Sus scrofa: one gene and its partners. The protein of the gene in region 3 interacts with the protein of the main gene of each other region in a pairwise test. Links are inferred from orthologs where the notes say so. Each region holds a gene or a part of one and is shown on either strand. Other genes may lie near its edges. The genes, in order: CCNC, VIM and PNMA5.

Region 1 (3,650 bases), on a different chromosome or scaffold from region 3:
TTATTTTTGTTTAAACTTTTTAGGACCATTCCTGTGGCATATGGAAGTTCCCAGGCTAAGGGTTGAACTGGAGCTGCAGCTGCCAGCCTATGCCACAGCCACAGCCAGGCGGGATCCAAGCCGTATCTACAACCTACACCGCAGCTCATGGCAATGCTGGATCTTTAACCCACTGAGCAAGGCCAGGGATGGAACCCAACTCCTCATGGACACTAGTCAGGTTCATAACCCCCTGAGCCACAATGGAACTCTCTAAAAATAACTAAAATTTATGAGGTGTTTCATCTTACATACAGTCTCATTTCATTTTACTAACTTTATAGGATTACTAAACTCTTTATTTTAAAGCTGAAAAAAAATCAAGAATTGGTTCCTTATCCAACAAAAGAAACTAAACCATATATAGTTTATTCAAAAACCCACAGTGGTGGGGGGAGACGGCACCTGTGTATGCCTGTGTATATATTTATATTTACATTTAAACCTCAAACTGTAATAACTGAAACTGGAAATTAAATGCCTGAGACATCTTTTTAATGTCTTTCAATACAATTTTCACACAAGCAGACAAAACACAGATAGATTTGGTCATAAAGATAAAAAAAAATGCTATAACTGAATATGAAAGGATACATTTTTTCCTAGGGATAATTCTTTACCTTAAAATTCTTAAAGCAAAAGCTTTCACTTAGTAAATCATAAAATAGGGTTATACTCAGCAAGTCATGTAGCAAAAGATATTGTTACAAGGATATAACTAGGATAAAACTCCAAGTTAATTTATAAAAGTAAAAGTTTATAAAGATTTGATCTTGGTTACCCATATTGGCTGTCCTTCAGCCACATAAAATTATATGGTGATATTTGGGAAAACCACCCCATAATACAGACCTTTTACAATCACTTTCTTAAAAAACAACAGGGCTGGTTCTGCCTCCTTAAATTACCACTTACAATTACATTCAATATTAAAGGAAGCAATTACTATTCTGAAGACATCATCTAAAAATAGAAACATAATACATAGGATTCATATTACCTAAGATAACATGAATTATTATGAACACCAGTCAATACGTGCTATTAGTACCTGGATTTTAGCTGAGCTCTCTCAAAAAATACTGAAAGGGTAAATAAAGTGATCCAAGATTTGGTCTCAGCTGCAGGTTCCCATCTCTCTTCTCTTTCTCACCTAATTTCTCAACCTTCACAACCCAAATTATTCCTTGCTAGAAGGAGTATATCTGCAGCTACTCTGGTTCTCCTAGGCAACCAATCATTAGGAGGCAGGAAGGAAAAACAGCAGGACATAGGACACATATGGAGTTTGAGAAGGAAGAACATTCTCAAGTTATAGTGGATAAGCTGTGGCAATTATGAAATACTCCTTAGAACCAAACAATAAATATCTTAAAGGTAGTAAAGCAAAGCAGTTAAGAGTATGGGAGGAGTTCCCGTCGTGGCACAGTGGTTAAGGAATCTGACTAGGAACCATGAGGTTGCGGGTTCAATCCCTGGCCTTGCTCAGTGATTTAAGCACTGAGCTGTGGTGTAGGTTGCAGACGTGGTTCGGATCCCTTGTTGCTATGGCTCTGGCATAGGCTGGAGGCTATGGAATTAGACCCCTAGCCTGGGAATCTCCATATACTGTGGGAGTGGCCCTAGAAAAGGCAAAAACAAACAAACAAAAAAAAAAACAAAAAAACAAAAAAAAGGAGAATAGGATTAGAAGCTAGACTCCTAGGGTTAAAATACCCTGTCACTTATCAGCTCCTTAATCTTTTTGTGTCTCAGTTTCTTCACTTATAAAATGATATTACAAATATATACCCCATAGTTTGTTATGAGGATTAAAATATTTGTAAGAGGACTTAGAATAGCACTTGGCACATAGTAAAGTGTTACATAAGTGCTTTTTAACTGAATATATAAAATAAAGATATGCATATACTTCTTTGATTTTGTACAAATTTCAATATTTTATGTAAATCATCATCTTATTATTTTTACACAGGTAATGTGAAAACTGGGTTTAACCAATACCGTTGACTGTACTTTGATGAAGAACAGAAAATTAGTTCATACCTCTACTTTGGATGCCAAAAACACACATGTAGGAGCCATTAATACAGGATCTATACTTTTCAGAGAATACCTAAAAATACAATTAATTAAACAAAGTTAAGCAATATTCATAGACCAAACACAAATGAAAATAGAATTCATACAGAAAACATCTATATGGGAAAAAAATCAGGCCAACTCTATAGCAAACACATGATTTACTTACATAAGTTTCATCCTCATTACATAAGAGTTTCAAATACATGATATTTTAAATACAAATAACAGTCCCAAAATAACACAGCCCTACCTGGCATAGAATCTCTTGAAATAGACCGTAGCAGTGGCAATAACTTGTTGTCTTAATTTAAGATGTTCACCTAATGCTTGGATAACTAAAAGAAAAATAATAATAATAAAATCTGATATCAATATAATATTAACACTGAACAATAACTTCCATGCAGTTAAATCATGACTATATTCATTTTTAACAAAGAGAAAAATTTACACATGCTATAATGCTCTACGTGGATCACAGTGGTCTAGTACTAGGATTACAAATTTGTTAAGGCTAAATGATAGGTATTTCCCCTCTTATCAGACACCCATCAGTTTTACAAAGTTCATAAAAAATCCAAAATGAATCCTCAAAACAACAGAGAGGTAGGTTTGCATAAGAGTGAACTGAGGCTTAGAAAGATCCTGGACAAAGCCACCACATGGCACAGCAAAGACCTTCTAATTCCAAATACCCTTCTCTCCAAAGCAAACTTGTAAGATAGGAATGACCAATACAGGATGTCAATCCAAAGAATTATTTATCCTCAAAGTACTTCATTTTAGCCAATCTTAAACTGGGTTTAATGATGCATTATAACTGTTTAGGAAGATTAACACTTTTAGATTGTCTTGAGTATCTCTGACATATAAGTCACTTTAAAAAAATACATTTAAGTTATAAAGAGAATACACATGTTAAAAAAAAAATAAAGGGACTAAAACAGTCACAAATTACTACAGAAAAACACCTTAGTTCAGAGTTAACCAACTATACTATTTAAACCAATTTAAAAGAAAAAAGTTTACCATTTGTAAAAAATATCTGTAATTTCCAATACTCTTCTTCTGAGAGAAACTTTAAGTCCTTTTGGCGTTCCTTCAACAGATCTTGTTTATCCAAAATCCATTGCAAACTAAAAGAAGCAAAGATTCAGACAACCTATAGAAAATCAACTAACAAAGTCACAGAAAACATTCTAAGAATGAACAAGTTTTAGTCTTAGTACAAAATACAAAAAGTAACCTTGAAAGATGTTTTTCACATTTCTTGAAACTCTGACGTTAGAATTATCTCACTAATAAGTGTAAATTAAATGTGCCCTGAAAAAAAAATCTGCTCTAATCTTCTCTTCCTTCTCAGTCTGTCTTGTCTCTCTTCCCACTCCCACATGTCACTTTTATAGTGTATTTCACTGATTCTAAGACTCTGGTATCAAGATGCATCTTTGGTGATCCTAGCATTTTAATAAGCAGTAATGTTTACACTTTTCTGGTGATAAATAATGGTGACATTATTTGACACC
Region 2 (3,650 bases), on a different chromosome or scaffold from region 3:
TTATGAAAAGACCTATCATTTTGTTTATAGGTTATTTTATTGTATAACATCTATTTGTAGGTTTAAAAAAGAACTTAACTGCAAAGTGAGGTCTAAAATGACCAAATGAACAACAATCATGCTTCAAGCATAAAGTTGAATTTTTTAAAGTTAACCTAACCCTGACTTTCGAGGCAGTTTAACCAAGAAGACTAAAAAAATATTTAACCCAAACACCTATTCTCCTAAAATTTAGAGCACTGTTTCACTATTATCAAATAAGTAAGACACCAAAAGAGTTTTCCAAAGATTTATTGAAGCAGAAACAAGTTGGTCAGATATTTGATGGAAAAAAGCAGTTTTAATGGTATTCAAAAATACTTTTTAAAAAGTATTCTAGCACAAGGCTTCTTCGGTAAACTAGATTATGTTGTAAACTTTTTTCCTAAATCTTTTACGAGTGTTGGTTTTTAAGAACTAGAGCTTATTCCTATTCCAAACCTATCTTGCGCTCCTGAAAAACTGCAGAAAGGCACTTGAAAGCTATTTCTTGAAGATACGGATTTCTTTTTTATTCTTGCTGGTAATATTTCGCTGCACAGAGTACATGCAGTTCTTATTCCAGATCATCGTGATGCTGGGAAGTTTCATTGATAACCTGATAAGCAAAAGAGGACTCTGGTCAAACATAATGCTACATACCTATGATTAAGTTACCCCAGAAAGCATGTCAAAGAAAAATCCTATGAAATGTATATAATTTATTGTGAAAGTTGGAAGATTATGTTGGTCCTGCATGACAAGAATCATGCACGGTAAGGGGGAAGACAGACCTATACAAGCAAAATAGGTATCCAATAAATGTGATGACTTCAAAAAAGAAACTTAAAAAAAAAATATTATATTGGGAGCTCCCGCTATGGCACAACGGGATGGATAGCACCTTGCAAGCGCTGGGACACAGGTTTGATCCCCAGCCTAGCACAGTGGGTTAAGGATCTGGTATTGTCGCAACTGCGGCTCGGATCTGATCCCTGGCCCAGGAGTTCCATATGCCACGGGGTGGGCAAAAAAGGAAACAACAACAACAACAAAAATACTATATTGGCGTTTCCTGGTGGCCTAGTGGCTAAGGATCTGGTGTTGTCACTGCAGCAGCTCGGTGGCTGCTGTGGCAGGGGTTCAGTTCAAGGCTGGGGAACTTCCATATGCCACAGGCAAGGCCAAAAAAAAAAAAAAATACTGTGTTTATACAGAAGGATGCTGTAATTGTCATAAGCAACAAAATTTAAAAGCAACTAAAGCCAGTTAAAATGTACACCAAGTATATTTTATGTGCAAAGGAAGATTATAAAGATTACAATACACTTCAACTGTTTCTTGCCAGAGAGAGGTAATAAGAAATTACTTAATCATATGGAAAGTCCTTGTATTATATTCTAACAGGGTCTAGGAGTGTCCAGGGAAGGCCTTATAGCCACGATCAAAATATTCCTAATACTGAAAGTAGTCTAATGAAGCCAGATGAGGCAGTAGCTTAAGGATGCTGCACTCCTCTTTCAAATTACGCACCAAAGCAAGTCACTAATTTTGAACTGTAGGTAGATTACCATCTCACCTTCAGATCTAGAAGCCAAAGAATTAGCTGGCCGTGTGTAATACTGGATAGAACAGGCCTATTCTTCTAGGACGCATGGGTGAAACTGAAACCTCCCAAATTCACTGGCTGTATCTGAGACAGACTTACTGATTGAAACATTTCTCAGTGCCTGTCTGAGGTTACTCCCGTTTTGATTTAAAGATACCCACCTGTCCATCTCTGGTCTCAACCGTCTTAATCAGAAGTGTCCTTTTGGAATGGGTGTCAACCAGAGGGAGGGATTCCAGATTGGTTTCTGGATAAAGAAAACAGGCCCCCAGTGAGTAAAAGCGAAATGTTTAAAAAGACCAGAAACTACTTGGTCCAAGGAATGAGGACTTCTGTTTGTGATTGTTTAAAGCACTATTCCTGTGATAATTCTAAAGACTGTCACCTATTTTAAAACCTAGGGGACCGACACCACTCGGGATAGTCAATGAGATGGACAGCTTCACTGTCTCCTCCATCAGGAGGAAGAAAAATGGATTTCAATTTACCTGAAAGTACAGAATGTAAGACAGCACTGGGGTTTGAAAATTGTGGCTGGGAGTTCCCACTGTGGCTCAGTGTGTTAAGAACCTGACATAGTGTGCATGAGGATGCGGGTTCCTTCCCTGCCCTCGCTCAGTTGGTTAAGGATCCAGCATTGCTGCTAGCTGCAGTGTAGGTAGCAGCTGTGGCTCAGATCTGGTGTTTGCTGTGGCTTAGGCCTGTAGCTGCAGCTCTGATTCAACCCCTAGCATACTTTCCATTTGCTGCAGGTACAGCCATTAAAAAAAAAAAAAAAAAAAAAAAGGAAAATAAAGAAAAAAAAAAGAAAATTATGGCTGTCTTACAAAATGTTCTCTTGTGGGGTATTTTTCAGGTATCATTTAAAAAATGAGTGCTTTATAAACAGAACAGTTACAAGCTGCTAAAATTTTTCATATAGGACAACCAAATGCTTACCCCTCAGGTTCAGGGAAGAAAAATTTGGAAGAGGCAGAGAAATCCTACAAAGAGACAAAGAAAAACAGTAAAATTTTTGGAAGACAACAAGGAACAAATGTATATGTTTGTTTTCATCAAATAGGAAAATCGACTCATAAATTCACAGGTGAATGATTTGCTTCAGAAGCATTAACCCATGTTTGATCTCATTAGGACACTTAAATATTTTACTCCAAGCCTTTTTCTCCAAGGGGCTGGCAGTATTCTAGAGTGGAGGGATTCTAGAGTGACTGTTGGTTTTCACAGCATCATAGGTTCAAATCCCAGCTCTGAGAGTGGATTAACTGACTAGGACCAAGGCATAACTCACTCTCTCTAAACTGAAGGCTCCTCATCTGTACAAAGTGGCAAGGAGCTACCTTGAGGAAAGGTTGTAAAGTTTGAATGAGATAATGCATAGAAAGCGAGAAGCTTGATGCAAATGGCAGCCAGGAATTCACTCCCACCCACCCCCGGTCCCCACCTGCTCTCTTCTCCTTCCAGCAGCTTCCTGTAGGTGGCAATCTCAATGTCGAGAGCCATCTTGACATTCAGCAGGTCTTGGTATTCACGAAGGTGACGGGCCATCTCTTCCTTCATGTTCTGAATCTCATCCTGCAGGCGGCCAATAGTGTCTTGGTAGTTAGCAGCTTCCACGGCAAAGTTCTCTTCCATTTCCCGCATCTGGCGTTCCAGAGACTCGTTCTGCAGATGAGAAAGGCTGCCAGTGTTATTTCCCCAGGGGCATAAAAAAACCAGCCATTCCCTCAACCATTTCTAGACCATGTGCAAATGGGACCCCGGCAGCAAATGGGAAATACTCCAATTTTAGGCAGAAAATCTAAGTACCAAATCCTCTTCCTAGCGGAAGCCATAATGTATGTAAACTAAAACCTCTGGATTTCCAAATTCTTTTCATTTTTTATTTATTTACTTTTTGGCTGTGCCCGTGGCATAGAGAAGTTCCCAGGCCAGGGACTGAACCCAAGCCATGGCAGTGACAATGCAGGATCCTTAACCTGCTGAGCCACCAGGGAACTCCCTCCATATATATATATTTTGG
Region 3 (3,750 bases):
ATGGGGGTGGGGCTTGGTGTCACGGGGGTGGGGCTGGGGTGGGGATGGGACATGGGAAGAAATGAGAGTTGGTGGGAGCAGGGGTCTAACTTCCGTGGCGGTGGGGCTTGGTGTGAGGGGTTGAGCTTAGGTGGGGTGGAGCTTAAGATGGAGTTTGTGCCTCAGTAGGAGTGGGACTTGGCAGTGAGTTTGAGATCCGGGTGGAACTGAGGAAAGGTAATAACCTGCCCTAGCACTGAGTACCAGTTGAGCAGTTTCTTGTATTCCAGTACCAGAATACTTGTGGGCACCTCTGTATATAGAATTGGCATAGGCAGAGCAGCAGCATGTCAGCCAGAACCATAGCAAAATACCTGTGCTTGGCCTTGGACAGATCCAGTGAAGCAGTACCCACCACCCCAGGACCAGAAACTGCCTGACTGGCCAGATCCCCAGGGCAGGCCTAGTGTTGAGTGCGGGTGAAATCCCCTCATCTGCACTGTGAATGGGTCCCTAATCAGATGGTAAATAGCTGGGAGGTGGGCCTGTGTTGCAGAGGCTTCTGTAACCCTGATGAAAAGCAGGAGGGGCGGGGTTGCCTGCCTGCCAAGGGTCTGGCAGAGTAAGGTCAAAGCCAGGGTGAGCATTGTCTGTTTCCTACGGTGTGGTACTGGAGACCCTTTTGGAGTCCCTTTTCTGTCCTTGCTTCTAGCTTCTACACAGTTTGAAACTAAGTTCTTTTTCAGTACTTGATCCTTGCTGCCCACCCCCCCCCATTCCCCTCCCTCTTCATGGGTTGGAGGCCAGTGACATCACCTGTTGCTCCTTAGCCTTTCCGCATGACACCCCCTGTGAAACCCGTAGTCCACATGCTTCATCCATGGCAACACTGCAGCTTGTCACACGTTCTCCATACCCACCAGCTTCAATGCCCTGTGCAGCGCTCCAGCCATCTTTCTCCTTTGTCAGGCATATCCTGAGAAAGGAGGGAACGCCACATCTCTGTCCTCTAAACTTTGCCCCAGCAGTAAGGGTACCAGGTGCCCTGGGCCTGCACAGCCCCGAGCCAGGGAGTGGGACAGCCTCTGGTCTTCTCCTAGTTGGAGAGCTTTGAAAGTGTTCCCAGGCATTAGGCCCCACCTCCTGAGGCTGGATTTTTCACTGCAGGCACTTCCAGCACAGACAGTAGGGTCTTCGGACTTTGAGGACGAACCCACGGCAAGCAGAGGTCAGCAGGGAAAGAGTGAGGTGGGGGGAGCTTGGCCTGCAGAGACCCCTCCACCAAATGACTGGGGGAGCCCTGTGAGGCAGAGAATGAGGTTCTGTGAGTGGAAGTGGGGGCAGAGGAGGGGCTTTTGGTGGGGATGGGAGGGTGGCCATTAATGATGCTCTCACCCCATTCACATTATAGGCTGTGGAAACCCAGGACGATTCTGCCTTCATATTTGGCCTTGACTTGCCTGAGTCCTGATCAAACTCTGTGAGCTGGTCCCTGCACCTGGTATTAGATCAGTTCATAGAAAGTGGGAGCAATGGCTGTGACACTGTTGGAGGATTGGTGCAAGGGGATGGACCTGGACCCCAGGAAGGCCCTGCTGATTGTGGGGATCCCCGTGGAGTGCAGTGAGGCTGAAATTAAAGAGACCGTGAAGGCAGGCTTACATCCCCTGTGCACCTACAGGGTGCTGGGCAGAATGTTCAGAAGGGAAGATAATGCTAAGGCAGTTTTCATTGAGTTGGCTGATACTGTCAATTATGCTATGATTCCCAGAGAGATACCAGGAAAGGGAGGTGCCTGGGAAGTGGTTGTGAAACCCCGCAGCTCAGATGATGAGTTTATGAATAGACTCAACTACTTCCTGAAAGACGAGGGCCGGAGAATGGTAGATGTGGCCAAGACCCTGGGATATAGCACTCCCACTGAGGGCATGGAGCCAGAGGCCTCGGATCAGGTCAGGTCACCAGCCTTGCAGCCTCTGAAAGAAAATGTGTGGTACCGAAAACTCAGAGTGTTTTCGGGAAGCACTTTCCCAGGCCCAGACGAAGACAGCTTTGAAGGCTGGCTGGAGCACGTCACTGAGTTGATGCAACTCTGGCAGGTGTCAGAGGTCGAGAAGAGGCGCCGTCTGCTGGAGAGCCTTCGCGGCTCTGCCCTATCTGTCGTGCGGGTGCTCCGGGCCAATGATGAATCTATGACCGTGGAGCAGTGTCTGGACGCCCTGAAGCAAATTTTTGGGACTAAAGAGGACTGCAGAACCTCACAATTTAAGTTCCTCCAGACCTTCCAGAAATCGGGAGAGAAAATCTCTAGTTTTTTGCTACGGTTAGAGCCCCTGCTGCAGAAAGCCGTGCAAAATAGCCCCTTGTCCGTGAGAAGCACAGACATGATTCGCCTGAAACACATCCTGGCTCGGTCCTGCATGAGCACCAGCCTCCGGGCCAAGTTAGAGCTCCTGGATCAGCGAGGTCGTGCTCCCACTTTCCTCGAGTTAATGCAGGTCATTCGAGATGAAGAGGAGTGGGAGGCCACCATGGGCCTGACGAAGGAGAGGCAAGTGGGGAGGGGCCGCAGGGCCTCCGGCAGGCCGGTGCTGGTGGAAGCCAGTGTCCCAATGCCTCAGGTCGTGGTGCAGACGGGGCCCTTTAACGAGAGCAGCACTCAGACCATCCAGGAAGGGATTAGCCTGTCCCTGAAGCGCAGGCGCATGTCATGCTGCTACGGTAGTGGGGAGGGAGGCCACAGCCAGGCAGCATGTCCTAGCGTGGAGAACCAAGCTCCAGCAAACAGAAGCCTCAGTTTGCAGCAGCAGAGTCGGGAAACGAGATGGGGGCTGGGGCAATGAGCCACCCCGAGCCCTAGGAAGCGTAGGCTCAGTACTCCAGGCACCCCTTCCCCTAGCAGGCAACTAAAATATTTTAATGAGATGAAGGAGCAGCCCACACCAAGAGCGGGGGACTTGAGGGGGAGAGAGTGGCAGGGCAGCCAGGCCCAGGCCGAGCCCCCTTGTCTTCTGCCAGCTCAGAGGGGCTCTACCAACCAAGCCCCATGCAGCCCAGTGAGGGCCAGTCAGCACAGGGCCTGGGAGAGGCACTGGCAATGCAAGCAGGGGGCCAGCACACTCGGCAGGTGGGGTGGCCAAGCCTCGGAGAGAGACCCCAAGGCAGAAGAGGCTGAAGAAGGTGTGGTGGGGGGCTCCGGCATGGACCCTGGCATCTGGCCACTCCTTAATGCCCAGAGGGTAGGCTCTGAGCTGATGAAGCTGATGGGCCCCCAGGCCATGTGGGGCCCAGGGGAGCCTCCCCCGGGGCCAGCCCTTCTGGAAGGAGCCAGCGCTGGTGAGGAAGAGCTGTGGGGCGGAGAAGAGATGCCCCGGAGGGGAGCCCGCAGGGTCCAGCCCGTCTTCAGGATCATCTACACCGCTCTAGGGGAGCCCCAGGAAGGCAGCACCCTGGAGCCTCTGCGCAAGTGAGGGGAGGAGACCCAGAGGCCCTGGGAGCCCAGCACCAGCCTACAGGCAGCCTCCTCCCCCTTAAGCTGGAAGGGCTGTGGGGACAAGGTCAGCAAAGTCTGTGCGGAGAAGGTCTCCGTGTCAGAGGCTCAGCTTGAGAGGCAGGGTGCAGGGTACCCTAGTGGGCACAGCTGCTTTGGTGCGAGTGGGTGTGCAAGCGCAAGGAAACTTTAGTTCCCAAGCAGGAGCAGGAGGGAGAGGGCGGGGAAAGAGGACGGGGAGGAGGAAGAGGAGGGGTGGGAGAGTGGAGGAGAAGATGCAG

The links.
Region 1: the proteins of PNMA5 (region 3) and CCNC interact in binary tests that used the Homo sapiens proteins (3 or more experiments, as listed by UniProt). The two-hybrid records come from large-scale screens. The link is inferred for Sus scrofa from reciprocal best matches to the Homo sapiens genes PNMA5 and CCNC.
Region 2: the proteins of PNMA5 (region 3) and VIM interact in binary tests that used the Homo sapiens proteins (3 or more experiments, as listed by UniProt). The link is inferred for Sus scrofa from reciprocal best matches to the Homo sapiens genes PNMA5 and VIM.

The regions. Positions count from the first base shown.
Region 1 is NC_010443.5:66,489,736-66,493,385, forward strand, and holds part of CCNC (cyclin-C), read right to left. Parts: intron 3,287-3,650; exon of another isoform or gene 3,261-3,286; coding exon 3,154-3,260; intron 2,460-3,153; coding exon 2,375-2,459; intron 2,156-2,374; coding exon 2,086-2,155; intron 1-2,085. UniProt on the Homo sapiens protein: Component of the Mediator complex, a coactivator involved in regulated gene transcription of nearly all RNA polymerase II-dependent genes.
Region 2 is NC_010452.4:43,522,798-43,526,447, reverse strand, and holds the end of VIM (vimentin), read right to left. Parts: intron 3,293-3,650; coding exon 3,072-3,292; intron 2,611-3,071; coding exon 2,567-2,610; intron 1,875-2,566; coding exon 1,789-1,874; intron 638-1,788; coding exon 596-637; 3' UTR 276-595; downstream 1-275. UniProt on the Homo sapiens protein: Vimentins are class-III intermediate filaments found in various non-epithelial cells, especially mesenchymal cells. Vimentin is attached to the nucleus, endoplasmic reticulum, and mitochondria, either laterally or terminally.
Region 3 is NC_010461.5:123,997,526-124,001,275, forward strand, and holds PNMA5 (paraneoplastic antigen-like protein 5), read left to right. Parts: upstream 1-1,409; 5' UTR 1,410-1,511; coding exon 1,512-2,822; 3' UTR 2,823-3,676; downstream 3,677-3,750.